6 linked regions of the Sus scrofa genome follow. The protein of the gene in region 1 interacts with the protein of each later gene in a pairwise test. Links are inferred from orthologs where the notes say so. Each region holds a gene or a part of one and is shown in the gene's direction. Other genes may lie near its edges.

Region 1 (5,288 bases):
GGCTCTTTGAAAGCCACACACAGAGCCACTGGTTTGCAGACTGGACCACCAGCCTCCTCGCCAACCACAGGCCCACTGGCGGCCAGAGCAGTGGCCCAGGTTGTCTTAGTTAAGTCTGTAGCTGCACTAGTGAGAGCCTCTCAGATGTTAACCTATCAGAGCAGCTCCCCTCCCCAGGCTGGGCCCGACCTACACAGCCTCTCTGGGCTGGGAAACCAAGACAGGGCCCAGATCTCAAGAGATGACCAGTCCAGGGCCCTCAGGGAGCCCTGAGTCATCACCACCTACCCCCAGGGGGTGTCTGTTTGTCATTCAGCAAACATATTCCAGGCAGCAACCCTGCCTGGGGACTCATTGTAAGCCAGGCCTACCGGGCCTGCCCTCATCCCACTGTTGGGACATAATGGGACCTCCAATGTGATGAGGAGAGATGGAGGGATGGCTGTCTCAGAAGCCGGTTCCCCCTTGGTATTCAGGGCCCAAGATACTCTCACTGATTTGAGGGGCAGCTCTGCTCTGTCAGGGGTGGGCCCCAGGCAGTGGGAGCATTGCTGAGAGTGGCCTGTCAGGCCCTCACTCCTACCTCCCTTCAGGCGGCAAAAGCAAGTCCGTGGAGCTGGAGGATGTGAAGTTCCACCAGTGCGTACGGCTCTCACGCTTTGAGAATGACCGCACCATCTCCTTCATCCCACCCGATGGCGAATTCGAGCTCATGTCTTACCGCCTCAACACCCACGTGAGTGCTTCCACCCCTGCTCCTCCCTGAGGGCAGCCTCTCCTGTCTGCTTGGCTGGGTGGGAACTATCCCCATCCAGGGTGAGTCTCACTGCGAGGTGATGCCCAGGATGAACACAGCTCCCCACAGGCAGCCTGGACTCCTAGGAGCCTGATTGACAAGGCAAGGTTCCGACGTTCTGAGGGGTCAGGCCCCTTTGCTCTGCTCTGTTTCCAGGCAGCCCCAGCAGAACATCTCTGGTGATGTTTTCTGCATTTTCACCAAGGCTTGGCAGCTGCTGGATGCCTTATTCTCTATGCTCTGACCCATCCTGGCACCAGCTCTGGATTCCTCCAAGCACCCCGGGCAGCAGTGCCCCAGGCTCACACCTGGCCAAGTGGTCCCTTGCCCTGGGGCTCAGTTTCCCCTCTGTGAAGCGGGGCTTTGTAAAATCACCAGGTCTGAGTACCGTCTTCACTCTCCCCAACAGGTCAAGCCCTTGATCTGGATTGAGTCTGTGATTGAAAAGCATTCCCACAGCCGCATTGAATACATGATCAAGGTATGTGTGTGTCCTGCATGCAGCATCAGCTGGGAGTGCAGGGTTGTTGAGGGGGGTATGGGCGGCCCCTCCTGGTACAGGCCTTTGGCCTTTGGCACAGGCCCTAACCCAGGACTGGGGGCATACCGGGGCTCTGTGACCCCTGCCCCCAGGTGTCAGGCCTGTGGCTGTCATCTGTGCTGCCCCTCTCTGACCTCACACAGAGAGCAGGTCTGGGGCAGGGAGGGGTCACACCACCCAGATCCTAGGTGCGGCCACCATGGCAGTGGCCTGTGACCAAGCATCTAGGTGTGCCATCTTGCCACTCAGTGATCTCATCAAGCCCAGGCAAGCCATGGTGACACAGACATTGTCCCAGGAGGCCAGGGCTGGGCCAGAGGAAGGGATGAGGAGTCCCAAAGGCCAAGGGGACAGGAAGGCAGAGACCGAACTTCTGAAGTTGAGCTTAAGGAAGATCTCAAGGGGTGGCGTGAGGGTCAGCTCCGTGTCAGAGTTGGGCATCCCACAGGTCAGGCCAAGGGACATGTGGCCCTCGAGGGAGTAGGCAGTCGGGGGAGCTGGACTGTCTCACCTTCACCCTCCACCCTCATCTCCAGGCAAAGAGCCAATTCAAGCGACGGTCAACAGCCAACAACGTGGAAATCCACATACCCGTGCCCAACGATGCCGACTCACCCAAGTTCAAGACAACAGTGGGAAGCGTCAAGTGGGTCCCCGAGAACAGTGAGATCGTGTGGTCCATCAAGTCCTTCCCGGTGAGCACCTTTCTCAGTGGGGCGCCCCCTCCAGCCTTCCACCCACACTCACCTGCTCCCTGTGCCCAGCACAGCATGGCAACCTGACTGTTGGGGAGCCTTGCAGCTCTAACGGCACAGGGCAGGATCCCCACCTGGGGCTTTAGGAAGGTTCAGGAGGGAGAGTGGATGGAGTGCTGAAAGGAGAGCAGGCAGAGGCAGGGGGTGGCGCTGGCTCCAGGCCACCCCACCTTCCTCTTGTTTGTGAACCGGCCTATCCTCAGCATCAGGGCAGTGCCCAGCCCTCCCTCCTCCTTTCCCTCTGGCACTGCTGTTCAGTGCTCAGCTCCCCTCCAGGGGAACAGACTGCTCTGGGGCCAGACCACATGGTTTAGGAAATCCAGCACCAGCTCCAGACACAGAGAGCACCTCCTGCCTGGGCCAGCTCCACATGCTGGCATGGCCCATTGGCTTGTATTCAATCTGAGCACTTGAGCCTGGGTTTGTGGGAAGAGTGCCTGGGGAGACAGGAAGGAGAGAATGGAAGACAAGTGTGAGGCCATCACACCAGGCCATCACTGTTACGGTGATAAACATGCTGGAACACCATTTTTATGTTTCAGAGCGCTGTTTGCGTTTCTCTGGAAACTGTAGTAGCTGTCTCTGGCTCACTTTTTTGTCCCGTTTGGTCGTTTTCTTCTTGGTTTCCAAAAGCTCTTTATACATGGGCAAGATTAGTACCTTTTCTTTGACATGACTTGGAAATAGTTTTCCTCAGTTTGCTGATGGCTTTTTTTTTTTTTCCTCCCCATGGCCACACCCACGGTATATGGAAGTTCTTGGGCCAGAGATTGAATCCAAGCTGCAACTGTGACCTACCCCACAGCTGTAGCAATGCTAGAACCTTAACCCAGCAACCTGAGCCACTGCAGGTACAACACTGGGTTCTTAATCTGCTGTGCCATAGCAGGAACTCCCTCAGTGTCTTTAAAGGTACTTTAATTTAACTGTAACATGCAGAATAGTAACATATGATATGTGATCAAGAATTTTCTCCAAGAGAATACATCTGTGTATCTGGTGCCAGATAAAAGCCACCAAACACTCTTTATCCCCAGGACACCCCAAGGATCTCTTCTGCTTTTGCACATTTCTCATTAAGATGATTTTTAAATCAATGTTTTAGTAAATGGAGCCTCCTTTTCCATTATATCTTCCAGTATAGGTTGCCAGCATTCATATGGTAATTTTATATCCTGGTATCCTACTAAATTTCTTATTTGCTGTAGCTTTTCTTTCAACTTTCATAATTATTCTTTCATATCGTTCACAGCCAGGTGCAGTTTCCCCTTTTCCTCTTCTATTCTTGGGCATCTTGTGGCTTCTGGCATCTCACTGCTGGGGTTGCCATCTCCAGCACCTGTAAGTGGCTGTGGAGAGAGCAGCCTCCTGGCTTTGCCTCAAATGGAGCTGCCAGGTTTCCCTTCCAAGTATATTGATGCTGCAACTCACTCCAATCCTACTTTACTGTGTTTGTAGCACAAATGGGCAATGAATTTAGCCAAATGCCTCTTCATTGTCTATTCATTCAGATATATTAATGGGATAGATCTTGAACTATCCATGCATTCTGGCGAGCTTCATGGTATATTTTCTTTCTTTTTTTTTATTACTCAAATGAATTTAGCACATCTGTAGTTGTATAATGATCATAACAATCTGATTTCACAGGATTTCCATCCCACAGCCCAAGCACATCCCCCCACCCCCCAAACTGTCTCCTCCAGAGACCATAAGTTTTTCAATGTCTGTGAGTCAGTATCTGTTCTGCAAAGAAGTTCCATCTGTCCTTTTTTCAGATTCCACATGTCAGTGAAAGCATTTGATGTTGGTGTCTCATTGTATGGCTGACTTCACTTAGCATGATAGTTTCTAGGTCCATCCATGTTGCAAAATAAGCTGGTATTTCATTCTTTTTAATGGCTGAGTAATATTCCATTGTGCATATGTACCACATCTTCTGGATCCACTCCTCTGTCGATGGACATTTAGGTTGTTTCCATGTTTGGGCTATTGTAAATAGTGCTGCAATGAACATTGGAGTACATGTGTCTTTGCGAGTAGTGGTTTTTTCTGGGTAGATGCCCAGGAGTGGGATTGCTGGATCAAATGGTAGTTCTGTGTTTAGTTTTCTGAGGAATCTCCATACTGCTTTCCACAGTGGTTGCACCAATTTACAATCCCACCAACAGTGTACTAGTGTTCCTTTTTCTCCACACCCTCTCCAGGACTTATTGTTTGTAGACTTTTGGATGATGGCCATTCTGGCTGGTGTAAGGTGGTACCTCGGAGTGGTTTTGATTTGTATCTCTCTAATCATGAGTGATGTTGAACATCTTTTCATGTGTTTCTTGGCCATCTGTATGTCTTCTTTGGAGAACTGTCTGTTTAGATCTTCTGCCCATTTTTGGATGGGGTTGTTTGTTTTTTTTGGTATGGAGCTGCAGAAGGTGTTTATAAATTTTGGGGATGAATCCCTTGTCAGCTGATTCACTTGCAAAGATTTTCTCCCATTCTGTGGATTGTCTTTTTGTGTTGTTTAGGGTTTCCTTTGTTGTGCAGAAACTTTGAAGTTTTATTAGGTCCCATTTGTTTATTTTTGTTTTTGTCATTAATACTCTGAGAGGTGGATCTGAGAATATGTTGCTGTCATTTATGTCAGAGAGTGTTAGGCCTGTGTTTTCCTCTAAGAGTTTTATAGTGCTGGTCTTATATCTAGGTCTTTAATCCATTTTGAGTTTGTTTTTGTGTATGGTGTTAGGGAGTGTTCAAATCTCATTCTTTTCCATGTGGCTGTCCAGTTTTCCTAGCACCACTTATTGAACAAGCTGTCCTTTCTCCATTGTATATTCTTGCCTCATTTGTCATAGATTAGTTGGATGTAGGTGTGTGGCTTTAATTCTGGGCTTTCTATCCTGTTCCACTGATTATATTTTCTTTTTAATGTCCCATTCATTCTGTTGGTTAACATTGTTTGCAGGATTTTTACGTTGGATTTCATAACTGAGATTTTTTTTTTTTTGGTACAGTCTCTATCAGGTATCAGTGTTATACCCATTTCATAATTTTTTTGTCTCCATTTTCCATGCTGCAGAACAGTTTAAGTAACCTTGAGATTGTCTGGCCTTGAGAGGATCGATAGAAGTCAGCTGTTTGACCATCTATATTTCTGCTACTTTCTCTGCCTCTTCTGTGGAAATTAAGCCATTTAGAGTTC
Region 2 (5,219 bases), on another chromosome or scaffold:
GGCACGGACCTACCCACCGCCCCCTCCCCCAGGTGGCCACACTCAAACTGCTGTTTTTACTGCATTGTAGGTCTAGCCTGCCCTCGCATTTCAGAGTTCACATCAGCATGTTTTTGAGCACTGACTGTATGCAAGCACGTTTTAGAACTTGTTTCCTGATTTTAAGGATCTGGGTGACCCAGTGCTTGATGGGGAAGGGGTAGTTCAGAGGGTGGAGCTCTATTCTCGGGGGACGCTTGTTCTAGTAGGTGGGAGACCCAGGCACTGTCCCCAGCGGGTCCCAGTCTGAGGGGGAGACAAATCCTCAGCTGAGTGAACAGGAAAGAGATACCTCCTTCCTCTAGGAGAGTCTGTAATGAGCCAAGAGAAGCCTTGAGGCTTCGTGGGAGGTGCTCCACCATCGGCCCCTTCCCCCCTCCCTACAGACGTTTCTATGACTCGGGAGCCATCATGCTGCGGGAGGAAGCCACGGTCCTCACCGGGATGCTGATCGGCCTGAGCGCCATAGATTTCAGGTGGGGGCTGCGTGGCGGTGGCCATGGCGATGGGGATGTTTCTCCGAGAAAGTCCACACTCCCGTCCCCTCATACCCGCCTGCCATCCTGTGGCTCCTCTGCCCCCAGCTTCTGCCTAAAGGGCGAAGTGCTGGACGGGAAGACCCCCGTGGTCATCGACTACACGCCCTACCTGAAGTTCACCCAGAGGTGAGCAGCCTGATTGTTGCCGGTGGTTGGTGGGTGCGGTCAGAAGACCGCCCTAAGGGGCGGGGATGGCGGGGGGAGGCCGGCGGCAGGGAGAATCTTGGTGCCCCCGCCCAAGCGGGCTGGCGTGGGGCACGCCAGCGGGCAGGGCCGGCAAGTGCCCACTGCTCCCTTCCCCAAGCTACGACTACCTGACGGACGAGGAGGAGCGGCACAGCGCCGAGAGCAGCACGAGTGAGGACAACTCACCCGAGCACCCTTACCTGCCGCTCGTCACCGACGAGGACAGCTGGTACAGCAAGTGGCATAAGATGGAACAGAAGTTCCGCATTGTCTACGCGCAGAAGGTGCGCGGTGGGGGAGGGGAGGGGAGCCCTGAGGAGGGCGGGGCGGCTGGGGCGGCCGCGGGGACCCCCCCTTTCCTCCTGCCACCCTGGCTGAGCCGGCGCCCCGCAGGGCTACCTGGAGGAGCTGGTGCGTCTGCGCGAGTCGCAGCTGAAAGACCTGGAGGCGGAGAACCGGCGGCTGCAGCTGCAGCTGGAGGAGGCGGCGGCGCAGAACCAGCGCGAGAAGCGGGAGCTGGAAGGCGTGATCCTGGAGCTGCAGGAGCAGCTGTGAGCGCCGCCGCCGCCCTGACCCCGTTCCTCCGCCTCCCCCAACACATCACCCCAGGGAACCCCACCATCGCCCCCGCTGACTCTAACGTCACCTTTCCCGATACCAACAGCCTGTCACCTTCATCCACAGATCCCCACCCTCGCGCGACCTAACGTTATCAACACGAGGACCCCCCCCCCAAAACCAGCTTCCCCACTTCACCTTCAATTATCTGCCACCAGCTAGAATGGCCATTACTTCTGGGACTCTTGACACTACCAAGGACCCCAACATAGCTCATAAGGACCTCTGTTCCTCAGCCTTCAACAGGGTTGCCCTTTCCCCTCTGTTCAACACCCCTCTGACCTGCAGTGTAGGCCCATCATCATCAGCCATGGTGACCCCTGACCTCACCCCTATCCATCCCTTTAACCGCTCCTCCCAGCATAACCCCCAACATCCCCTAACTCTTCATGATTCCCACACTATTCGGCACCAAGGCCCATCCCCTGACTCCGTCCACATCCTGCTATTCCCCTAACCCCGGACACTAATTCCCATCATCCTTCTGACCCCCAGGATCTGCCCCACTGATGAACATTCATACCCGTTTCTGCTACCCAGGTTTCAATCCTAACTCCTCTCCCACCTCTTGCTGAGCCCCTTCCTGGCCAGGCCTGACCCCCCCTCCCCATCCCAGGACAGGTCTGATCCCCGGTGACCACGCTCCCCTGGCCCAGGGTTCCAAGGACCTCACTGCACGCCTGGTCAACCAGTGGCCATCACTGGGGACACTCAACGGGGCCGAAGGCACTAACAACCCCAAGCTCTACCGGAGGTAAGCCCCAGCCACGCTCAGCCTGGGCCTGAGTGCTGTCCCTCCCAGGGAAGAGGGCGCCGGGTCCGAGGGCCGCTGCCTGTATACTAGCTCTCTGCTTTGCCGCAGACACAGTTTCATGAGCACGGAGCCGCTGTCAGCAGAAGCCAGTCTGAGCTCAGACTCCCAGCGTCTGGGAGAGGGCAAGCGGGACGAGGAGCCTTGGGGCCCCATCGGTGAGCCAGCACCCAGCACCCGCCGGGGAAGGGCTGAGGCCAGGCCTCGGGGCCTGTAGTCAGGCTCTGGCCACTTCCCTCATTGGCTCGGCCCTTCCCGAGAGCTTAGCACAGCAATTGGGAGCTTGGTTTGGGGTGTCATGTAGACCCGGGTGCCGATGGCGGCTGTGCCCCCTCTGGTTGTGTGAGCTTGGTCAGTGACTTCACCTTGCTGAGCCCTTCTCGTCCGTAAGATGGGGATGCCGCTTAGAATAATCCCCAGTGTTGGCACATGGTGAGGGCTCGATGGCTTTTTGGTATGGAGCCATCGTGAAGGGGCTCCTCACAGACCCTCGGGGAGTTCTTTGCCTAATTTGCTCTTATCTCATGCCCTCTGTGAACCAGTCACCTGACCGTTGTTTCCCCCTTTTCTTTGGCTGCCAGGAAGCTCAGAGCCAAATTAGTGGCTCCCTTCAAGCGAATGTCCAGGACTTCAACGCATGCATTTTTGTGTTGCCCTCCCCCTGGCTTCTCCTTGGTTTCCCACCCTAGTTTTCCTGGTGCCTGGACTCCTTGTCTTTTCTTTCTAAAACCTACACTGCACTGGATGACCCTAGATCCTCTTTGAGACGAGGCAGGCCATGGATGTGGAAGCCCGCCACACTGTGTTTGTGATTGTCCGTGTGTCTGTCTCCCCACCAGACTGTGAGCTCCGTGAGGGCAGGGACCGTGTCTCGTCCGTTCTCTGTATCCCCCGTGCTTGGAACGGAACAAGTGCTCACCGTGTGTTTAATAAATGGACAAAGAGAGAGGGTGAACCTCAGGGGGGAGACAGAGACATCAACTGACGATTACAATACAGTGTCCCCAGCTCTGTGCATGGCGCGGGCAGGTGCTGAGCAAGGGTGCGTTGCAGAAGGCAAACGCTCCAGAAATGAGGAAGGCCGCCTGGTGGGTGACCTGAGGGCTGTCCCTTCACTGCCTGCACCTGCGCACGCCCCAACTCACACACACGCAGACCGGTTGGCCCGGCCTCACCCCCCCTCTCTCCCCAGGGAAGGACCCCACGCCCTCCATGCTGGGCCTCTGCGGCTCCCTGGCCTCCATCCCCAGCTGCAAGTCGCTGGCGAGCTTCAAATCCAACGAGTGCCTGGTGAGCGACAGTCCTGAGGGCAGCCCGGCACTGAGCCCCAGCTGAGGAGTTGCCCCCGGGGGGTGCCAGCCGCACCTGCCAGGGGCACAGACGCCTGCCACCTGTCCTCAGTCCCCCAATCCAGGCCACCCTCCAGGAGCGTCTGGGGAAAGACACCCTTTGCTTCTAGCCCAGTTTAACTTCTTGCCCGAGGAGGCAGGAGCTGCCAAGGGAGGCCGGCTGGGCCCCAGAGGCTGGGGCGCCAAGGCTGCGGGGAGCTTATTCTTCCGCCGACCTTGACGCCTGACTCGCTCCCTACTGGACTCTCCTCTGCTCATCTCCCCACCCTCCTTAGGAGCTGGTGGCCCAGCCTCAGCACCCCCACCTCTCATGCCTCTCCCGTCTGTTCCTGTGTACACCGTGGAGCCACTCCGTCCTTGGTCTCCAAGGAGGTGGAGGAGGGGAGAGCCTCTGAGGCCATCAGGCAAATAAAAACCAGAGGACTGAGGGCAGCCTTGTCTGTGGGGGGCTGGGACAGGGCCCAGAACGTGGAGGGGCTGGCACCGGGGCCAAGGCCGTGCTGGACCAGAGTCCGTGTGTGCCCCGTGGTAGGAGGATTTCAGGGAGTGGGCAGCTTTCCTAAGTATCAGGTCAGCCCAGCGTGGGACCGGAACGTGTAAGGGCCCCTGCGCCCTGATCCAATTAGTAACTCATTCATCCCAGGCAGAGAAGACGCGGGGCGTCCCAGGGGGCAGGATGGCGAAGGCAGGGCCCCGTTTCCTTGCCACCTTCCTGAGCAAGTCAGCTCTGGCCTACAGGTCCAGCTCCTTCCACTAGGCCGAAGCCTGGCTGTGAAGCCACCCTCCCTCCTGGGTGGTCACTGAAAGTTTGTGCCCTTGGGGCAAGTCTCACCAGCCCTTCAACCCTGGGTCCTTACCCTGACCCGGCTCCAAGTTGTGTGTGGGGTCCTCTACGTGGGCAAGACCCGGAGAGCCAAAGCCGACATCACGGTCCCTTCTGGGACTCTTCTGTACACACTGCCTTCACCGTGCCCTGCTTCCTCACCCACCGGGCCACCCACCGCAGACCCCCCATTCCCAGAGTCACAGGCACTGGAAAGAAGTTTATCATCTTTAGACTCAAGGAATTAACAGAGGCGGGTGCAGACCACGCCAGGCCCGCAGGCTTTCAGGGGCAGGCCCGGCTACAGCAGACACACCAGGGAATGGGGGGTGCGGGTAGTTAGCAGATTTGGTCTTGAACGTGGGGGGGAGAGATGATTCACGGGGCTGGGGAATGGGGAGCAGCAGGAAGAGGTCTGGGGTGGGGGGCCTGGGGCTCAGAGCGGAGAGGAAAGAGAAACGGGGCCCCTCCCCTCAGTGCTGAGGAAAAGGCACTTGGCTCAGTCTCCTCCTGCCTCACCCCACCCGTGGAAGAGATGGGGTCCCTGTCCCCTCACTCCTTTCAAGGGCCCAGAGGCTGTTCCCGGTTGAGCCTCTGGAAGAAGCTTTTGCCGAACTCATACGTGCTGATCATGATGGCGCAGGAGGGGGCGGCCTTGACGATCCTCGGGAGGAAGCCTGTGGCGGGAGGGAGCGGCCGGGGTCAGAGGTCAGGTCCCGGGGGCCCCAGATCCACCAGGGCCTGGACACAGACAGACAGACAGACACACACACACACACACACACTCAGAGACACCCACCTGCAAAGAGCCCCCTGGTGCCCGACTCGGCCCGGATCCTCTGCAGCAGCAGCCA
Region 3 (4,117 bases), on another chromosome or scaffold:
TCGTAGAGGCACTTGTTTTTTTACCCCCCTTGAAGGGATGAAAGACCAAGCCCTTTTAAGATAAGACTTGAAGGAAGCGGAAACCCTGTAGCTAATTGAATAGGAAGTATACTAAAGTAAGGGGTGATTTCTGGGCATACCTTTATAGCCCTACTTAGTAATCATATAAATACCTCATGTTTGCTGAATGCCCTCCATGTGTCCCAGGCTCCACCTGCATCACCTCAGTTCTTCCTCTAGGGGTCCTTTGGGAGGGTCTTTGGTTGTCATCCCCATTTTTACAGATGAAACTGAGACTCCCAGAGGTTCCGTTACTTGCCTGACCTCAACCACTAATAAGTGGCTGAGCTTGGACTTGAATCCAGGTGTAGCTAAGTCCAGGGCCCACCCTGGAGCACTCGCCCTGTGCAGCTTCCAACACACTGCCCAGGGCCTTCACAGGAGGTCTTCTGCCTGTGAGAGGGACTCAGCCAGCTCTGCGAATGCAGCTTAGTCCTTGAGGAAAAAAGTACTTCCCAGTCTCCTAGTAGTATTGGGGCACGGTGGGGAGTGGAGAGCTTAGGGGGGAAGCTAGCCCTGAGAAGACCATCTGCTTGAGAAAAGCAATCCTGAAGGAGGTTTTGGGTGCACAGAACCTACTGGATTAGGCAGCTGGGAGACAGCCAAGGAGTAGGGGACAAAGCCTGCTACATTGTCAGGACTGAATGTCAAACAGTGCCGTGACCTCATGTCCGAGCGCAAACAAAACATCACTCAGTGCAAAAATCCCTGAACACTGAGGGCTTCTGTCCTCTTGGATGACCATTACAATTGGGGAGGCTTCAGGTCCTTGGAGATCTGCCATATTTGAGTGGCCATAAATGTGATTTTTTTTTTTTTTTTTCCAGCAGCAAGCATCTAAAGTTGAGAAGGTGTTTTTTACCACTGCTGTACCAGTAGCCAGTAGCACAGGTATGTAATTCTGTGTTAGCTTTAAAAGGAAGTCAATTCTCTGGGCCCCTTGAGGCACAGTTAGTTAATTATTGCTTTGCCCCAGTTTTTAAAAAATTTTAAATTAAATTGATCACATTGTATTTTTTTCACTAGAGTATTTCATATTCTCACAACTGTTGAAAGCTACTGCACTTACGGCATAAACACTACCTTTAACTTCTTTAACTAGTAACGGTTCTTTCCCTTTCAGATACAGCCTTTAACATAGCCAGAAAAAGTTTGAATCACAGTTCATGCCAAAGAGAGCAGTTGTTAACTCATTGGACTCTTTTTCTAATTACAGTAATGAAGAAATAGCGTCTGAGATCTTAGAGAGCTAAAAGGTCCTTTTTCTCAAGCTTTTTATAGATTAAAGCAACTAGGCCCCGAAACGATGAAATGACTCCCCGAGAGTCATACGTGAGTCTGTGGCAGAGCCTCAGGCCTCCTGATGCCCATTCTGTTCTCCTACCCCTGGTCTCGAGCTCTTCTGAGACATGCAAAGCCTATCCGAATTCAGAGTGTGCCTGTGCACCGCACACACACACAAAAGAGGGGGAATGTGTGTGCATACAAGGCTGGCTTGTATCAGAGAGCCGGGCTGCACAGCTGAGCAGGGTGTCCTGAAGGAGGTCAGAGCCTCTTGGGCAGGCAGGGGCCAGGGTCAGGTGCAGTGCGGCAGAGCTCTGCCCTCGGGCTGGCCCTCAGGTGTAAGCCCGCTGGAAACACTGCCTGGAGGTGGAGGTGTCAGGAGAGGAGAGGAGTGAGCTGGGTGTTCAGAGCTAAGTTCTCCAGAAGACTTTAGGCAGAAGGAAGAGCCTCTCAGCCAAGAGCTATGCGGAGAGTGTCGGGAAAAGGGAGGTGTCCGCCGTGGCTGGCATGGAGGGTGGCCAGAAATGAAGCTGGAAATACAGGGTGCATCTAGATGGTGTGTGGCTTCTCTGCCTCAGAGGGGATGGGGAGTGTCAGAGGCTTCTCACTCGAGGAGGAACAAAGCCTGGAGCATGACATCCACCCTTCCCATCTTCCTGCCTCCATGGTGCTCAGCTCTCACCTAGTCTTACACCCTCCTGTCCCTCTTGCCCTTGCCCTGCGGCTACTTGAAGAGCAGTCTCTCTCGCCTCTCTCACAGGCAGTGCTGTACAGCAGATTGGCCTCAGTGTTCCTGTGATCATCATCAAACAAGAGGAGGCCTGTCAGTGTCAGTGTGCGTGCCGGGACTCTGCCAAGGAGCGGGCGGCCAGCAGGCGGAAGGGCTGTTCTTCCCCGCCCCCTCCAGAGCTGAGCGCCCAGCCTCCTGATGGGCCAGGCCTGAAGCTACCACCACAGACTTTTTCCCCACCCCCGATCCCCCTGTCGTCATCCTCCGCTGCATCCTCCTCCTGTGAGCAAAGCAGACAAGCAGTGACTCCTTCAGACCCTCCGACAGAAACGTTACGTGCCATGGATATGTCCGAGTTTCTGTCTCTCCAGAGCCTGGACACCCCATCCAACCTGATTCCCATTGAAGCACTACTGCAGGAAGAGGAGGAGATGGGCCTGACCAGCAGCTTCTCCAAGTGAAAGGCCCGAATGTGCTCCCCTCCAGGAACAGAGGCCAAGCAGGAAGCAGAGGTGCGGTGCCTGTCCTCATGGGGTCAGCAGTTTGAAGGATGAAGAAATCTACTGTTTGAAATCCTCACCTTTCAGACCTGTTTTCTTTATTCATATGTCAGGAGCATCCATTTTTAAGGAACTGATCTTTGGAAAAAACAAAAAAACAAACAAAAAAAACAAAACAAAAAAAAAGCTAAGTTATAAATGAACTGTTTGGCTGCACTGTATGTCACTTTTGCTTATTGTCATGTGAACTTGGAAATTAAGGTTACTCGTATGCATAAAAATTCTAAATGAAAGGGTGTGGTTTCCATCAATCTGATGCTGCCCATCACTTGCACTGGGGTCTTTGTGGTCTGGGCAGTAGAGTTCGGCGTGTCGGGTGTTGCTCCTCCCCATGCGTCTTTTGAGTCTGAGGCCGAAGCTTGCTTGGAAGGCCAGACCCTCGCTCCGTCAGAGAAGGAAGTGGCAAAGCCAGGTCAGACAGCTGTGAGCTGGACAGGGATCGGGTGAGCTGGTTTTGTTGTCTGTGCTTGGTGTGGTGGAGCTCAGGGCGACTGTGGCAGGTGTCATCCTGCAGCCAGCTACGGCACAAACAGGCAGCTAAAAGGCTGGCCTGAGGCCTAGGGGACAGCCTGCTTCCATCAGGGCCCTAGGCAAGTCGTTGATAGCTCCTGTCGCTGACTGGTGCCTGTGCAGAGCAGGCTGTAGGAACTTGATCAGTCTTTGCCTTCCCGGCATATTCTCTCTCTCTCTCTCTCTCTCTCCTCTCTCTCTCTCTCTCCCTCTCCCTCTCTCTCTCTCTCTCTCTCTCTCTCTCTCTCTTTCTCTCTCTCTCTTGGTTGCCAGGGCTTGCAGATCACAGTGAGTTTTTCTTGGGGAACATCCCTGCTTTGTCCTGGAGTGGACGGGCAGTTTGTGGCCAGTTGCTGGTCGGCGGTCTGCCTTTTCTGAATGGTATCTTCTTCCTCAGAGCAGAAGAGCTGCATTTTGCTCATCAGGAGAATGTGCGGCTTTCCAGGAGTTTTGTTCAGGCGGCATGCCCTCGGCAGGCGGGTGGCCTGGTTTGGGGTTCCAGCCAGGCTTTTGGTTGTCCCCTCCCATCTCCACCCCTGACCCCTCTGGATTTTGCATACAGCCTAGTACAGTGCAAAGAAGGATGTGACTTGCTCAGCTTAGTCATATGATTTCTAAACAAAAAAAGGAAAAAAAAAAACAAAAACAAACAAAAAAAAAGCAATGATCTTCTACTCAGGGTAAAATAAAAAAAAAATTCCCCTTCCACCAAAAAGCCTGAAATGTTGCAATAAGTTATCTCATTTGGAATGTTTCATTAAGTTGTGTTATAGGAAAAAAAATTTTTTTTTGATGATTTGTGTATAGAATTATATCCATCTGTCTGCCTTTGGCTCCCAGTTATTGCCTCTTAAAATAAAACATAAAATACAATCCACACTAAAATGGAAAGTTTCTCTCAACTGGCTGTGTTAATGTAGTCAGGAGTGCTCACCATGTGTACTGAGCTCAGAAACTAGGCATGGCCTCTGCC
Region 4 (5,288 bases), on another chromosome or scaffold:
CAGCTTGGATCCCATGTGGATGTGGCTGTGGCTGTGGCATAGGCTGGCAACTAGAGCTCCGATTTGACCCCTATAGCCTGGGAACCTCCATGTGCCTCAGGTGTGGCCCTACAAAGCAAAAAAAAAAAAAGTTTCTGACCGTCTTTTCACTTGACTCAGAGAAGCCGTGTTACTCTGATTTTGGTAACTGCTGTGTCTTTTCCTCTTTAGAATGGAGATCTCCTCTCATCAGTCTCACCTCCTCCAACAACTGAATGAGCAGCGCAGGCAAGATGTATTTTGTGATTGCAATATTCTGGTTGAAGGAAAAGTCTTCAAAGCCCATCGGAATGTATTATTTGCTAGTAGCGGCTACTTTAAAATGCTTCTTTCGCAGACTTCCAAGGAAACAAGTCAGCCGACCACCGCGACGTTTCAGGCTTTCTCTCCCGACACTTTTACCGTCATCCTGGACTTCGTCTACTCTGGTAGGCTCTCTCTCACGGGTCAGAATGTCATAGAAGTGATGTCAGCTGCTAGCTTCCTTCAGATGACTGATGTCATCAGCGTTTGTAAGACCTTTATTAAATCTTCGCTCGACATCAGCGAAAAAGAAAAAGATCGCTATTTCAGCCTCTCCGATAAAGATGCCAGTTCTAATGGTATAGAACGTTCCTCTTTTTATAGCGGTGGTTGGCAAGATGAAAGCAGTTCTCCACGCTCTCACCTGAGCCCCGATCAAGGGACGGGTATAATAAGTGGGAAATCTTGGAGTAAGTATAATTACCATCCAGCCCCCCAAAGGAATACTCAGCAGCCTCTGGCCAAGCATGAACAAAGGAAAGAGTCCATGAAAAAGTCCAAACATTTGAGGTTGTCACAGCCTTCTGAAACAACTCAGTATAAGTCAAGCAAACGAGAAGCTCGAACATCTGATTCTTCCAGCCACATTTCCCAGTCTGAAGAACAGGCACAGATGGATGTGGAAATGGACTCTACTCCTGTTGGCTATCAGTACGGTCAAGGAGCTGATGTCACATCAAGAAGTTTTCCAGGTACCCACAAAGAGACTCCATCCCCTCAATCAGGTTCCAAGACTCCTCTGTAAATCAATCCTATTTCAACATAACACCTTTAGGTGTTATGGGCAGTTGGACCAAGTGATTCTTTTTTTAATGAATGAAATCTATTCATTAAATGTTAAGTTAATTTCTTTAATTAAAAGTAATATTGGATGAATTTAAGGAGGTCAAAAGAATAGCGTGCTGAGGGTGGAAACCCACGATTTTCCAAACCTACATCTGCGGGTGATTAGATTACTGTTAAGTGTTTAAAGCTCTTTCCTTAAATGGTTCAGTCCTTAAGACACATATTTTCATTTGAAATAGTTGTGGGTTTTTTTTTTGTTTTTTGTTTTTTCTGAATTCAGTAGGGAGGAGTTTTGTTGTTGTTGTTGTTGTTTTTCCTTTTTTTGGCTGCCCCTACAGCATATGGAAGTTCCTGGGCCAGGGATCGAATCTGAGCTGCAGCCTAACACCACAGCTCTAGCAAGGCTGGATCCTTAGCCCGCTGCACCACAACAGGAACTCCTTTACTTGTATTTTGTAATTTTAGAAAAATTCCAAACATATATTAAGAGAGGATAGTATAATTAACCCCCATGTACCCATTACCCAGTCCTACTCATGACCAGTCTTATTTAATCTGTGCCTCTGCCCCAACACCTCCCATTTTTAAGCAAACCTAAGACATCATATTTTATCTTAAATATTTCAGAATATGTCCCTAAAATGTAGTTTTAAAAAAACCTGCAGAGAGTTCCCGTCATGGCTCAGTGGTTAACGAATACAACTAGGAACCATGAGGTTGTGGGTTCGATCCCTGGCGTTGCTCAGTGAGTTAAGGATCCAGCGTTGCCATGAAGCTGTGGTGTAGGTTGCAGACTCGGCTTGGATCTGATGTTGCTGTGGCTCTGGTGTAGGCCGGTGGCTGCAGCTCCGATTTGACCCCTAGCCTGGGAACCTCCATATGCCGCGGATGTGGCCCTAGAAAAGACAAAAAAACAAAAAAACAAAAAAAGAACCTGCAGGAGTTCCCTTCACAGATCATTGGTTAACGAACCTGACTAGGATCCATGAGGATGCAGGTTCCATCCCTGGCCTCGCTCAGTGGGTTAAGGATATGCTGTTGCCGTGAGCTGTGGTGTAGGTCACAGACGTGGCTTATATCCCACGTTGCTGTGGCTGTGGTGTAGGCCAGCAGCTGTAGCTCTGATTCAGCCCCTAGCCTGGGAACTTCCAGATGCCACAAGTACAGCTCTAAAAAAGCAAAAAAAGGAGTTCCCATAGTGGCTCAGTGGTTAACATGAGTGGAACCATGAGGTTGCAGGTTTGATCCCTGGCCTTGCTCACTGGGTTGGGGATCCAGTGTTGCCATGAGCTGTGGTATAGGTTGCAGATGCAGCTCAGATCCCGCGTTGCTGTGACTCTGGTGTAGGCTGGTGGCTATAGCTCTGATTGGACCCCTTGCCTGGGAACCTCCATGTGCCGCGGGAGCGGCCCTAGAAATAGCAAAAAGACAAATAAATAAATAAATAAACAAAAAAGCAAAAAAACACCCAAACCAAACCAAACAAACCCCCTACAATACCATTATTATTGTACCTGAACAAAATTAGCAAATCTTTAATATCATTAAAGCCAATCAATATTTACATTTCCCTGGTCGTCATATAAATTTTAGACAAAAATTTGGTTGTATAGGTAACATATTTAAAAATAATAGGCAACCTGACTGATTTTTACTAACCATATCTTCCTGTAGGATATAATATGAAAATACATGAAATTGTATCATATTGTAGAGCTTACTGAAAATCCTGCTGAGCTCTATAATGGGCCAAGGAAGACAAATAACAGAGCAAAAATGGAAAATCTTTGTTGCATTTTATTTTTCATTTTTGTTTTGTTTTGTTTTGATTGTCTGCACTCTTGGCATATGGAAGTTCCTGGGCCAGGGACTGAATCCAAGCCACAACTGTGGCAGCACTGGATCCTTAACCCACTGCACCAGGCTGGGGATGGAACCCAGGACTGCAGCAACCCAAGGTGCTGCAGTCAGATCCTTAACCCACTGTACCACAGCGGGAACTCCTGTTGTGTTTTAAAGCAGCAAAAATGTTATCCTTTCTTGGGCTCTGAACTGTTATAATTCTGGGTTATTTAAATCTTCAGTAATGACCAGCTATTAAATTGATGAGATTTGCCTCCAATCACAACTAACATTTTGAATATGTATGAGTTTTAAAACAAAAAATTAAAGATCCTAGAAACTTTTTCATTTTACAAGAAAAGTAGCACAACTGTATGAAAAGTAAAGGCAGGGGGATAAATGCATAAATAAATAATTATTTAATAAGTAAATTAATAAAACAAGGTACTTAGAATCTTTAAAATCCAGTACTACCTCTTGACATTTAACATCTAGGGACTCTTGGAGTTCCCATCGTGGCTTAGCAGTAACGAACCTAGCTAGTATCCTAGTATCCACGAGGACATGGGTTCATCCCTGGCCTTGCTTGGTGAGTTAAGGATCCGGCGTTACCATGAGCTGTGAGGTAGGTTGCAGATGCGGCTCGGATATCACATTGCTATGGGTTGTGGCTGTGGCTGTAGCTCCAATTCGACCCATAGCCTGGGAACTTCCATATGCCACAGGTGCAGCCCTAAAAAGCAAAAAAAAAAAAAAAAAAAGACAAAATCTGTCCAGACTTTGTAAATATCTCCTGAGGTTATGATTCCGTAATAGGATTATCACCTTTGACAATCTAGTCTTTATAAAATTTCTTCCTTTTTCCTTTCGCTTATCTTTCTGAGATTGGACTCACCAGCCCCTTTTGGATTCTTGAAGTTATTAGAATTTTGATTATGAACCTTCTGGTGACTTAATCAAACTGTCTCCTGACAGATGACCTGCCCAGGATGAGGTTCAAGTGCCCGTATTGCACACATGTGGTGAAGCGGAAGGCAGACCTCAAGCGGCACCTTCGTTGTCACACAGGAGAAAGGCCTTACCCCTGTCAAGCTTGTGGGAAAAGATTTAGCCGGCTAGACCATCTAAGTAGCCATTTTCGAACAGTATGTATATGATTTTTTCATCATTTTACTTCTTAGGAAATCCATGCGTTTATCAGCTTTAGGATAATCTGATTAACTGAGGGAAATCTTTTCATAAAACTCTACCATATTAAAATTTTGTTCCCATTTAATGTTTTTACTTTACATATAATGCATAAATTCATATATTTTTTAAAAATAGATTTTTATTCTCCTTTTGAAACCTTAAAGTAAGAAATAGTCTTTTGAATATCCATTTTAATTGACTTGAAATCTAATGTGTTTTATATCCTGGTCTTTTCAGGATATAAAATGAGCCAACAACAATGTAAACTTTAAAAATGTTTTAAATGTCTAGGTCAAAATCACCATTTCTGGGAGTTCCTGTTGTGGCTCAACGGTAACGAACCTAATGGCATAAGGATGCCATTCAATCCCTGGTCTTGCTGAGTGGGTTAAGGATATGGCACTGCTGTGAGATGTAGGTTGCAGACACTGCTCAGATGCCTCATTGCTGTGGCTATGGTGTAGGCTGCGGCTGTGTTGTAGGTGACAGATATGGCTCAGATTCCATCCCTGGCTTGGGAACTTCCATATGCTGCAGGTGTGGCCAAAAAAGAAAAAAAAATAGTAGTCTCAAATGATATGAGTTTTTTCTGCTTTTTTTTTTTTTTTTTAAAATAGCAGGTGATCTCATGAATTTTCATTGGTTCATCATATTTGGATCCATAACAATTATTATTCTTTTTGATACTCAGATTTTCATGTGTGCAGTGGGACACTCAAAGCTGGCTCTTGTGTCCTTTTGTCACAACTCTGTTAAATTTTCAAAGTATCCTTGTTCTCTGGCTCCAAAAGAGCCCAAGGCTCACCTTGAACATCCCCTGCCAAAAAAAAAAAAAGGAATCAGTTATTTCTCAAAGAAGCTTTGGTACCTTGTAGTGGGGAATGAAATTAGAAAACAAAATTTAGACACCTAGGGTGCTCATTGTTATAAGGCATCATTCTTTTCAGATTATTTCTGAGCTAGAAGATATATATTTTTAAAATAATGAATTCATGATCATATTTTCTATTTTATAGTATTTCACTTGATTTCTTTGTCTTCGTAACTGTATTGGAATCTGTATGAATCTGTGTCAGAATTGTACAGGTTTCGTGGGGTGGTGGGGGGGGGGGGGGGGGGGGGTGGGG
Region 5 (5,288 bases), on another chromosome or scaffold:
AGGCCAGTGGCTACAGCTCCAGTTAGACCCCTAGCCTGGAAACCTCCATGTGCCGCGGGAGTGGCCCTAGAAAAGGCAAAAAAGACCAAAAAAAAAAAAAGAAAAAGAAAATTAAGGCCATTTCTTTGTGTTCTATCCAACAGCTTGGCACAAACATCTGTTCATGTTCCCTTTCTCTCTTCTCAGCTCTCTGTTTCCAGATGTAGTGAATTGTATGCAGACTGACAACCTGGAACTAAAGAAGCTTGTGTATCTCTATTTGATGAACTATGCCAAGAGTCAGCCAGACATGGCCATCATGGCTGTCAACAGCTTTGTGAAGGTAACTCTTTCCCAGGGATTCAAGAGCAGTGTCTTTTCAGAAATGTCTCTTGATATAGTAAGTGTCTGCATTGCAAATAAGCAACCTCTGTTCCAAAAGAGAGCCTCTAGAGAAGTACTGGCAATGAGTAGGAATGTTCGTGTTTTAAGCATTCTGTGTGCCAGCGTTTGTCATCCAGTTCAAACCATATGGTGAGCCTTCTGTCAGCAGGGCTCGGTGCATTTTTGCCAGATGGGAGAAGAAAACCAGGTGAAACCTCACTGCTTTGCCTTCCAAGGCTAACAAAGGTTGAGCATGTCTTTGTAGTATCAGTATCTTGGGGCTTTACCTATTTTATCTCAGTAGAACTATGCTTATGGGTCAGAAGAAATGGAAACTGCAGGAACTGCTATTTAATTTTGTTTTATTCAGTAGGTCTTAGAACAGTTGATGAACTTTTTTGTCATTATGGAAATTTTCAAGCATCTTCAGGTAGAGGGAATAGAATAATAAATTGCTAAGTATCAGTCTTGTAGTTTCAATAGTCACCTGCCTGTGACCAGCCTTATTTAACTTATACTCTCCATACATGCTTCCCTGACTCCCCTCCTTTCCTACTGGTTACTTTTACAGTAAATCCCAAACATATGTAACTATAGTACCATTGTCACATCTTTAAAACCTGACCAGTAAGAAATTCCTTGGAATTCTTTTGCAACATAGCAGGGTTAAAGATACGGCATTTTCACTGCAGTGGGTTTTGTTGCTGCTGTTGTGTGGCCAAAAAAGAAGAAGAAGAAAGTAAATTTCTTAGTATTATTAGATATCAAGAGTCAAATTTGTCCTATCATTAGATTTGATAAACATAATAATGAGGTTGTTCGTATTAGTTTTTTTTTTTTTTTTTTTTTGGCCACATCCGCAGTACATGGAAATTCCCAGCCCAGGGATTGAATCCAAGCCACAGCTGTGGCATAGCTTGCGACACCAGATCCTTTAACCTACTGCGCCAGGTCAGGGATCAAACTGCTCCTCTGCAGTGACTCAAGCCGCTGCAGTCAGGTTCTTAACTGACTATACCACAGTGGAAACTCCAGTTTTTAGTTTTTTTATTTATTGTTTTTTTCCTCTGTTTGGAATTCAGTTTGCATTAAAAGCAAAAATCAGACATCATTTCTAAAATGAGCTTGTACTAAACTGTTTTGAAAAATAAACAGCATGCTTTCCTCCTTAAAAAGCAGAACCAACCTAACATTTCTTTCTGGTGATGCACAGGTGGATGATAGTACCAGAAAGAATTTGGTGTCCATTTTTTGGAAGTTAGCATGTTCACAGGTTTATAATGTTTAAAGAAATTTCTTAATGTAGGACAGTTTAAGGGTTGTTCCTTCATGATAAGTATTCTATTCATATTTGACACAGATGCTAGGAGAGGAGAATGTATGTAATCAGGGTCTCAGAGGGCCCTCTCTTCTGCTTCACTCAAGGAACCCAAATCACCTTCTATATCTCTTTTGCTTTCGTGGCTGTAGGCCCCAGGTAACCAGTCCTCTTTCTCCCTACTTGGTATTTGTTGAGTGGGACACATCTTTCCAGTTTCTAATTTTTTCCTGTACCAGAATACAAGCCCTAAGACCTTTTCTATTTATAGGACAGGTCCACTAATGGCTCTGGGGGTGGTAGCATCAGCTAAGCTTTCTGCTCAGCTCTGAAATGAAACCTACAGGACACTTCTTCATTGTGTATATAAAAGTTAAATGAATTCCTAACCTAAACTCTTAGGTAGGCAACTAAGACTGTACCTTGGAAGGGAATGGTCTAAGAGATGTGAGTTCTGATGTGGAATGTAACTGGAAACCTACATTAAATGAATATTCTGTTGTGGCTTACGTACATCTGACTGTTTATTTTTAGTCACCCTGTACACCTATAGTTGTCAGTGATTGTTTTTTTAGGACTGTGAAGATCCCAATCCTCTGATTCGGGCCTTGGCAGTCAGAACCATGGGGTGTATCCGGGTGGACAAGATTACGGAATATCTCTGTGAACCCCTCCGCAAGTGCTTAAAGGATGAAGATCCCTATGTTCGGAAGACAGCAGCAGTCTGTGTGGCAAAACTCCATGACATCAATGCCCAGATGGTTGAAGATCAGGGATTTCTGGATTCTCTGCGGGACCTCATAGCAGATTCAAATCCAATGGTAATAGTTTCTGCTTTTATAAGAGAGTGGTATTTAAAATGAGTCCCTTTATTTGTGTGTGTGGGGGGGGCGGGGGTGCGGGCGTTGTTTGTTGGGGTTTTTTTGGCCAAGGCGTGTGGAAGTTCCTGGTGACGATGCCAGATTTTTAACCCACCAGGCTACCAGAGAAGTCCAGAATGGGTCCCTTTGAAAAATATGTTTAGGAGTTCTCTGGTGGGCCTATCAGTTAAGGATGCAGCATTGTTACTGCCGTGGCTTGGGTAGGATCCTTGGCCTCGGAACTTCCAAAAGCTGTGAATACAACCAAATAAATAAATGAAAGAATAAAATAAAATGTCCATCATTGAAAAGGATGTTTAGGAATTCCTGCTGTGGCACAGTGGTTTAATGATCTGGCTTGCTGTGGCACAGTGGTTGCTGGTCCAGTCCCTGGTCTGCTGCGGCAGATTAAGGATCTGGCATTGTTGCAGCAGTGGCGTAAGCCTCAAATGCAGCTTGGATTCGATCCCTGGCCTGGGAACTTCCATATACTGTGGGTATGGCCAAAAATGGAAAAAAATTAAAAAAAAAAAAAAAGAATGTTTAAAGTACGTCTTGTCATAGGCTAGCCCTGTGAAGCATGACTTATGTGTGTCCCACAGTCTAACACCCTACATGTTTCTGAGCGGAAATCCAAGCATGAAAATATAGGTTTTGTTTTTTTTTTTTAATTGAAGTATAGTTGTTTACAATATTGTTAGTTTACAGGAAAGTAATTGTTTTATAAGTATATATTTTTTCAGATTATTTTCCATTATAGATATTTACAAAATATTGAATACTGTTTTCTGTATTATGCAGTAAATCCATCCTGCTTATCTGTTTTATGTATAGTAGTTTCTATCTATCAATCCCATACTTCTCTAATTTATCCCTCTCCCCCTCCCCCTTTAGTAACCCTGGGTTTGTTTTTTATGTCTGAGTCTGCTTCTGTTTTATATATAGGATCATTTGTATTATTTTTCAGATTCCACATGTAAGTGGTATATTTGTCTTTTTTTTCACTTAATATGATATTCTCCAGGTCCATCCATGCTGCAGCAAATGGCAATATTTCATTTCTTTTTTTGACTGAGTACTATTCCTGTGTGTGTGTGTTTTCACATCACATCTTAAACCACTCATCTTTAATGGCCATTTCGGTTATTTCCCTGTCTTGGTGATAAGTAGTGCTACTATGAACACTGGGGTGAAGGGTCTTTTTTTTTTTCTTTTTTCTTTTTTGGCAGTCCTGCAGCATATCGAGTTCCCGGCCAGGGATCAGATCTGATCCTATGCTGCAGCTGTGGCAACAGCAGATTGTTAACCCACTGTGCGGAGCCAGAGATTGAAGCTGCATCCCAGGACACTGCCGGTCCTGTGTGCCACAGCGGGAACTCCTAAAATATAAGGGTCTTATAGCAAATCTTTGTATCATACTTACTTCTCTATTTGTTCAGAAACAAATTTCTTTCATTACTGTCTTAAAGAAGTTTTACCTTAAGTTTATATCAGTTTTTAAAAAGATTTCTTCAGATGGATATTTGTGGTCTTTTCTGGTGGTGTGGGAATACAACTGAATAAAAGTTATCTTTATTGCTTAATTATTGTAGTCCATTCTTCTACAGAGTACTAGGACAATTCTCTTTTTTTTTTTTTTTTTTTTTTTTTTTTTTTTTTTTTTTTGGTGGGGGCCACGTCCAGGGTATATGGAAGTTCCCAGGCTAGGGGTCAAATCGGAGCTGTAGCTGACAGCCTACACTGCAGCTACAGCAATGCGAGATCTGAGCTGTGTCTGCAACCTACACCACACAATGCCAGATCCTTAACCCAATGAGTGGGGGCCAGGGATTGAACATGCAGCTTCATGGATACTTGTTGGATTCATTACCACTGAGCCACAGTGGGAACTCCTAGGACAATTTTTTATAGCCAACCTGATTATTTTGTGAATGTTTGGCAGTCAGAACCTAATCCTTAATGTTTGGGACCTTTTTATTTCTCCTATTGACATTTAGAATTTGGCTGTATAGTGAATGGAGCAAGTCTCAAAGTGGTACGTTGGCTCTGCTAGTAACTGAAGATCATTTGAATTGAGTGATTGGTCATTAAGTATCATTACTGAGAAGATGGAGGAATTGAGTCCCTGTCTCTCCCCTTTTTCCTAATGCATACTTCTCTTGGAGGTGAATAACATTGAGCTATTCAGTGGGTAGCCTGGGAATATTTCACTGTTGAACTTTTTGAATTAGAGAATTGGAATTTGCCATGATGTAGGCCTTGGGTTTCACTTGCAAAATAACCTGCTCAGATGGTTCATCTTACTCTTTGGGTAGCCTTGGCTTCTATTTATTATCTTTCAAATTTGGTGTCTAGGTCAAAGGATGAAGCAAGCTATAGTTTTTTAAAGTTGCTGTGGTACTACCTACCATTAGAAATCCTATAGCTACTTGCTAGGCACAGAGGCAATACCGGTGTGTATGCGCATAAACCGTGACTTTTAACAGGGTGTAATTACCACCAGTATTAGAAGATTCAACCCTATCTTTTTCCCTCAAGCAGCGCTGTGTCACCTTTTTAGAATTACATAAAGAGGAGTTCCCCTTGTGGCTTAGCGATAACAAACCCGACTAGTATCAGACTAGTATCATGAGGACTCTGGTTGATCCCTGGCCTCACTCAGTGGGTTAAGAATCTGGCATTGCCATGAGCTGTGGTATAGGTTGCAGACACTGCTCGAGTCTGGCATTGCAGTGGCTGTGGTTTAG
Region 6 (5,288 bases), on another chromosome or scaffold:
CATGGTTCCTCTCCCTTTAATCCACCGTGACCTCCAGTTTCCCTCTGCTCCCTGTCCCCAAGGCCGGGGGCCTGAAGCTGTCCACACCACAGAGTGTCTTCCCTGCCTTCTTCTCGTTCTTTTGGAAGTTGGGAACTGGGAGTCACCCCCTGGCAGGGTGGAGATGGATCGCTCACATTGCCTCCTTTTTTAGGGGAGATCTTTGAGCTGAAGGCAGAGCTGAACAGTGACAAGAAGGAAAAGAAGAAGGAGGCGGTGAAGAAAGTGATTGCATCAATGACCGTGGGCAAAGACGTCAGGTGTGTGGAGTAGGCTGGGTGGCAGCTGGAGGTGGGTGATGGGGGCTTTCTAGCATGGGCCCAGCCTCAGGTCCCTCCTTTAATATGTCCCTAAGGACCCACATCTCCCTTCCTTTAGCTCCTTTCTCAAACCTCCTTTCCAAACAGAAGGTTTGGTGTGCAAAGAGATCATGTGCTCAGATGCAGATGGGATTGGGCAGTAATGGAGCAAGTGAAGTGGACAAGGTCGAAAAGGCACCAGACAATGCAGTGCATGTGGTGTGAACCCTATCAAACTCTAGAGGGTGCTGCCCGCTGTGGAAATGACCCCAGTGGGGCCAGTCTTTTGGTTTTTAGAAAGAGTGGGGAATTCCTGGATTTTTCTTTGCTTTCTTTTGTTTTTTGTTGTCTTTTTAGGGCCGCACCCACGGCATATGGAAGTTCCCGGGCAAGGGGTAGAATCAGACCTGCAGCTGAGGTCTATACCACAGCCACAGCAATGCCAGATCCAAGCCGCAGTTGTAACCTATGCTATAGCTTGCGGCAGTGCTGGATCCTTAACCCACTGAGCGAGGCCAGGGATTGAACCTGAATCCTCATAGATACTAGTCGGGTTCTTAACCCACTGAGCCACAAAGGGAACTTGATTTTTCATTTTAAAAATCTCTGTTTTAGATTGTCACACGATACCGAACAAACAAACCCTGTGCAAGTAAGACACACCTGCAGGTTTCTTGTTGAATTTGTCGTCAGTTTGCAGCCTCTGGTTTGCATCTGTTACCACAGCAGATCGCATACAGAATGACAGCCCCTCCTTTACTCATGCATCTCCCCAGCCTGGAACGTCCCTTCCCCTTTTGCGTTTACCCAGCTGTCTCCTTCATCACTCTGGCCCACTGCCCTGAACACATAGCATTTGCTGTGTTCCTATTGCTTGGCCCTAATTCTAGAGTGCCCTCTTCTTATGTGCGCTTGAGCCTCCCTGCCCACCACATTGTCAAGTCCTCAAGGACAAGGGCTAGATTTTACAGCAGCTCAACACATAGTGTTTGAGAGTCAGCAGAACACTTTTAGATATATTTTCCTGGAAGTTCCATACAATTTCCATACTGTAGGTAAGGATGATCTTTGGCCAAAGAAGCCAGAAACAGTGACTGTCCAAATGGTCACTTGGTTAATGGCAGAACCATTACTCACGCTCAACCCATCTGAAATCCAGACCTGGGTGCTTTCTTCCTTCCCTGTCCTTGGTGTCCTTGTGGTGCCAAGCTCCATGCCTTGTAGGCCTGGACACTGGCCTGGAGCAGCTCCCCATCTGGGTCCCTCAGCAGGATCCCTCTGCTCATACTTGTAGTGCCCAATCCCATTGCCACACTCAGCAAGGGACCTCCTGACAGCACCACAGGAGAAGCAGCTCTACAGAGAAGCCTGCTGAGGACAGATCAGCAAAGGGATCGGGTGTCTGCTGGAAAACTGGTGCAGCCAAAAAAGGGGGAAAAAAATCACCCTTTGGAATTCATTTTCTACCAGTAGATATTCATGGTAAAAGCTGTTGCCCTGCCTTTTACTAGGAAGACCTGTTATCTTTTCCTTCCCTCCTTCCCACTCACCCCCCTCCGCACCCTCCATTAACTGCCTGAAAAATCTTCTTTTCTCTTCTTTGGCCTTCCTTGCACTGACACCGCTTTGACCTTCCAGTGCCCTCTTCCCCGATGTGGTGAACTGTATGCAGACGGACAACCTGGAGCTGAAGAAGCTAGTGTACCTGTACTTGATGAACTATGCCAAGAGTCAGCCAGACATGGCCATTATGGCCGTCAACACCTTTGTGAAGGTGAGCAGGAGCTTGTGGGAGGAGGGGTGTAGCTGCTTACTGCTCCCCCCGGTCTCTTAGGGTGGGGCACTATGGCTCTGGGCCTGGGCCCTCTGGCTCCCATCCTGGGGACTCTTCCTCCAGCAGAGGGCCCCAGCTCTCTTCAGAATAGCAGATGCCACAGACCCTGCTACTTCACTCCATGTGAGGTCACCCCAGGCCTGTTGTTCCCCCTGTTCCCTGGGGTGAGCCACTGCCCTGCGTCATTTGCCAGCACAGGATGCAGCACGCATCTGAGAGCTGTGCTCCCCTTCTAGACTTTGCTCCTTTCTGCATTTTCTGTCCTCCAGATTGGGGAGAAGCAGGGACTTGCAGTGTCAGCTCTGCACTTTATAACCTTAGCTCCCTAATTCCCATTGATGCCCAGATAGGTGAGTCCTAGGGCCTAATTGAAATATTAGATGCAGGATGGGTCATGGCTCTGCTGTGTGACTGGGTGAGCTCCCGACCTTGCTGAGAGCCTCAGCTCCCTCACCTGTAAAATAGGAACTGTATTCTGTGTCTGCTATGAGGATCAAGGAGGATAGTGCAAAGCCTAGCATCTGGCAGGTGTTAGATGCCCATATATGGCCCTTGCTTTTGATGTTGTTGGCCACAATTGGTGGGAGATCCCATGGTAGCTGTATGATGTTGCTCACCTCGGCCAATGGCTGATTCCCCTTAGGACTGTGAGGACCCCAACCCTCTGATCCGGGCTCTGGCTGTGCGGACCATGGGGTGCATCCGTGTCGACAAGATCACAGAGTATCTGTGTGAGCCACTCCGGAAGTGCCTAAAGGATGAGGACCCCTATGTGCGTAAGACAGCAGCTGTGTGCGTGGCCAAGCTTCACGACATCAACGCCCAGCTGGTAGAGGACCAGGGCTTCCTAGACACTCTTAAAGACCTCATCTCTGATTCTAACCCCATGGTAAGTCACTGCCACCCACAGTGTCACCTCTACCTCCTCCAGGGTTCCTTGGAAGGCCTTGGCTTGACCCTCCACCAGGCAGCTTCAGTTCCTGGAAAGAGCCCTGCGGGGTGGGCCAGCTGTTCTCCTGCCTGCAGTGGTTTGGGCACCATCTTTGGAGTGAGCTAGACCTAGATGCTCTTGTCTGCACGGCTCTCTCTAACAAGCTTTGCGACCTTGAGCAAGCTGCCTAACCTTCCAGAGCCCTCTTTTCTTCATCAGTAAGATGAATCTATTTCTGCATGGTTACCAGGAGTGTATGAGGCTTTATCTATGAAGGTATCGTGCCTAGCATAGCCTGGCACACAGTGGATATGCATCTACGACTAGTGCCCTCCTTCCCCTTCTAGTCACTGTTGTTGGTTTTTTTGGGGTTTGTTTTGTTTTGTTTTGTTTGTTTGTTTTTTTGGTCTTTTTGTCATTTCTTGGGCCACTCCCGTGGCATATAGTTTCCCAGGCTAGGGTCTAATCGGAACTGTAGCCGCTGGCCCACGCCAGAGCCACAGCAACGCAGGATCCGAGCCACGTCTGCAACGTACACCACAGCTCACTGCAATGCTGGATCCTTAACCCACTGAGTGAGGCCAGGGATCAAATCCACACCCTCATGGTTCCTAGTCAGATTCATTAACCACAACCACATGGTTCCCTGAGCCATGACGGAAACTCCTAGTCACTGTTGTTATCACCGTCCTCTCACCAAGACCATCAATGAGCTGTGAATGGGAGGTGCTTCTCCCTTTCCCCACTCTTTGCAGAGTTAGAGATGGTTACCCTTGAAGTAGTGTAACCGGAGAAAAGGCACCAGGATGCGTTGGGAGGGGACCTGGTCTCCTCGGTTTGGTGGGCAATTCAGTAGGGCCATATTTAAAATGAAATGTGGGAGTTCCCGTCAGTGCCTTAGTGGTTAACAAAGCCGACCAGGATCCATGAGGATGCGGGTTCGATCCCTGACCTCACTCGGTGGGTTAAGGATCTAGCATTTCTGTGAGCTGTGGTATTGGTCGCAGACTCAGCTTGGATCTGGCGTTTCTATGGTTGTGGCGTATGCCAGCAGCTACAGCTTTGATTCGACCCCTAGCCTGGGAACCTCCATATGCAGCGGCTGTGGCCCTAAAAAGACAAAAAGATTAAAAAATTTTTTTAAATAAAATGAAATGTGGAGTTCCCTTTGTGGAGTAGAGGAAACTAATCTGATTAGTATCCATGAGGATATGGGTTTGATCCTGGCCTCATTCAGTGGCTTAAGGACCTGGCATTGCCATGAGCTACAGCATAGGTCACAGATGGGTCTCAGATCCGAAGTTGCTGTGGCATAGGCCCCAGATACAGCTCTGATTCGACCCTTAGCCTGGGAACTTTCATATGCTGCAGGTGCAGCTATAAAAAGATTAAAAAAAAGGCAATGTACAACCTGCCTGGCCCAGCTGTCCCATTCTGTGTAACACTAAAACCAGTCACACACAGGAGCCAAGTGGCCAGTACAGAGATGGCCACTGGAGCTCTGCTTGGTTCAAGGAAGGTTGAACACCACACAGTACACATGTAAAACCAGCTGCTCTGGTGGAAATGGGTTGCACACCCAGAGCTTCACAAGGCAACCCTTCTGTGCTCCAGCCCAGATCTGTTCCTAGCAGCCTTGAGTGGCTCTGCAGGAACCTTCTAGCTCTGAGAAGCACAGGTGTCAACCCCTACAGAGAGCTGTTGGAGCTGGTAGACTGGTACTGCTGTTAGGTAGCAGGAGTGCTTTCTCTGGCCAGGTTTGGGACTAGAGCTTTCTTATCTTGTGTTTTTCTTTAATGGCAGGTGCACTTTTAGTTTCAGCTTACAGAGGAATCAATCGTAGCATGAGCTTGAAGTGAGTCTCGGAGATCCAGACCCTGCCTATAGGGTCTTCCAGGATATTTGAGCTCTGTCTGGTCCACATCATTAGCCCCACTACTGCCCTGGCCTGCAGACCGCACCCCAGCCTCTAACCCCTCCACCCTCTCAACCAGGTGGTAGCAAATGCAGTGGCGGCCCTCTCCGAGATTGCTGAGTCTCACCCCAGCAGCAACCTGCTTGACCTGAACCCGCAGTCCATTAACAAGCTGCTGACAGCCCTGAATGAGTGCACTGAGTGGGGCCAGATCTTCATTCTGGACTGCCTGGCCAACTACACTCCCAAGGATGACCGAGAGGCCCAGAG

What was found.
Region 2: the proteins of AP1M1 (region 1) and RUNDC3A interact in binary tests that used the Homo sapiens proteins (3 or more experiments, as listed by UniProt). The two-hybrid records come from large-scale screens. The link is inferred for Sus scrofa from reciprocal best matches to the Homo sapiens genes AP1M1 and RUNDC3A.
Region 3: the proteins of AP1M1 (region 1) and MTF1 interact in binary tests that used the Homo sapiens proteins (3 or more experiments, as listed by UniProt). The two-hybrid records come from large-scale screens. The link is inferred for Sus scrofa from reciprocal best matches to the Homo sapiens genes AP1M1 and MTF1.
Region 4: the proteins of AP1M1 (region 1) and ZBTB8A interact in binary tests that used the Homo sapiens proteins (3 or more experiments, as listed by UniProt). The two-hybrid records come from large-scale screens. The link is inferred for Sus scrofa from reciprocal best matches to the Homo sapiens genes AP1M1 and ZBTB8A.
Region 5: the proteins of AP1M1 (region 1) and AP2B1 interact in binary tests that used the Homo sapiens proteins (3 or more experiments, as listed by UniProt). The link is inferred for Sus scrofa from reciprocal best matches to the Homo sapiens genes AP1M1 and AP2B1.
Region 6: the proteins of AP1M1 (region 1) and AP1B1 interact in a two-hybrid assay, tested with the Homo sapiens proteins (2 studies listed by BioGRID, with this or other methods). The link is inferred for Sus scrofa from reciprocal best matches to the Homo sapiens genes AP1M1 and AP1B1.

Annotation. Positions count from the first base shown.
Region 1 is NC_010444.4:61,361,074-61,366,361, reverse strand, and holds part of AP1M1 (AP-1 complex subunit mu-1), read left to right. Parts: intron 1-593; coding exon 594-736; intron 737-1,205; coding exon 1,206-1,277; intron 1,278-1,873; coding exon 1,874-2,032; intron 2,033-5,288. UniProt on the Homo sapiens protein: Subunit of clathrin-associated adaptor protein complex 1 that plays a role in protein sorting in the trans-Golgi network (TGN) and endosomes.
Region 2 is NC_010454.4:18,919,115-18,924,333, reverse strand, and holds the end of RUNDC3A (RUN domain-containing protein 3A), read left to right. Parts: intron 1-425; coding exon 426-515; intron 516-623; coding exon 624-704; intron 705-882; coding exon 883-1,048; intron 1,049-1,157; coding exon 1,158-1,315; intron 1,316-1,998; coding exon 1,999-2,136; intron 2,137-2,244; coding exon 2,245-2,351; intron 2,352-2,774; coding exon of another isoform or gene 2,775-2,794; exon of another isoform or gene 2,795-3,385; coding exon 3,386-3,528; 3' UTR 3,529-3,969; downstream 3,970-5,219. Other genes in the region: SLC25A39 (solute carrier family 25 member 39), read right to left, coding at 4,927-5,042, 5,165-5,219. UniProt on the Homo sapiens protein: May act as an effector of RAP2A in neuronal cells.
Region 3 is NC_010448.4:93,838,847-93,842,963, reverse strand, and holds the end of MTF1 (metal regulatory transcription factor 1), read left to right. Parts: intron 1-887; coding exon 888-951; intron 952-2,104; coding exon 2,105-2,535; 3' UTR 2,536-2,867; downstream 2,868-4,117. UniProt on the Homo sapiens protein: Zinc-dependent transcriptional regulator of cellular adaption to conditions of exposure to heavy metals. Binds to metal responsive elements (MRE) in promoters and activates the transcription of metallothionein genes like metallothionein-2/MT2A.
Region 4 is NC_010448.4:88,952,208-88,957,495, forward strand, and holds part of ZBTB8A (zinc finger and BTB domain-containing protein 8A), read left to right. Parts: intron 1-210; 5' UTR 211-211; coding exon 212-1,034; intron 1,035-3,945; coding exon 3,946-4,115; intron 4,116-5,288. UniProt on the Homo sapiens protein: May be involved in transcriptional regulation.
Region 5 is NC_010454.4:39,902,129-39,907,416, reverse strand, and holds part of AP2B1 (AP-2 complex subunit beta), read left to right. Parts: intron 1-186; coding exon 187-322; intron 323-2,256; coding exon 2,257-2,502; intron 2,503-5,288. UniProt on the Homo sapiens protein: Component of the adaptor protein complex 2 (AP-2). Adaptor protein complexes function in protein transport via transport vesicles in different membrane traffic pathways.
Region 6 is NC_010456.5:46,491,912-46,497,199, reverse strand, and holds part of AP1B1 (AP-1 complex subunit beta-1), read left to right. Parts: intron 1-193; coding exon 194-299; intron 300-1,976; coding exon 1,977-2,112; intron 2,113-2,815; coding exon 2,816-3,061; intron 3,062-5,097; coding exon 5,098-5,288. UniProt on the Homo sapiens protein: Subunit of clathrin-associated adaptor protein complex 1 that plays a role in protein sorting in the late-Golgi/trans-Golgi network (TGN) and/or endosomes.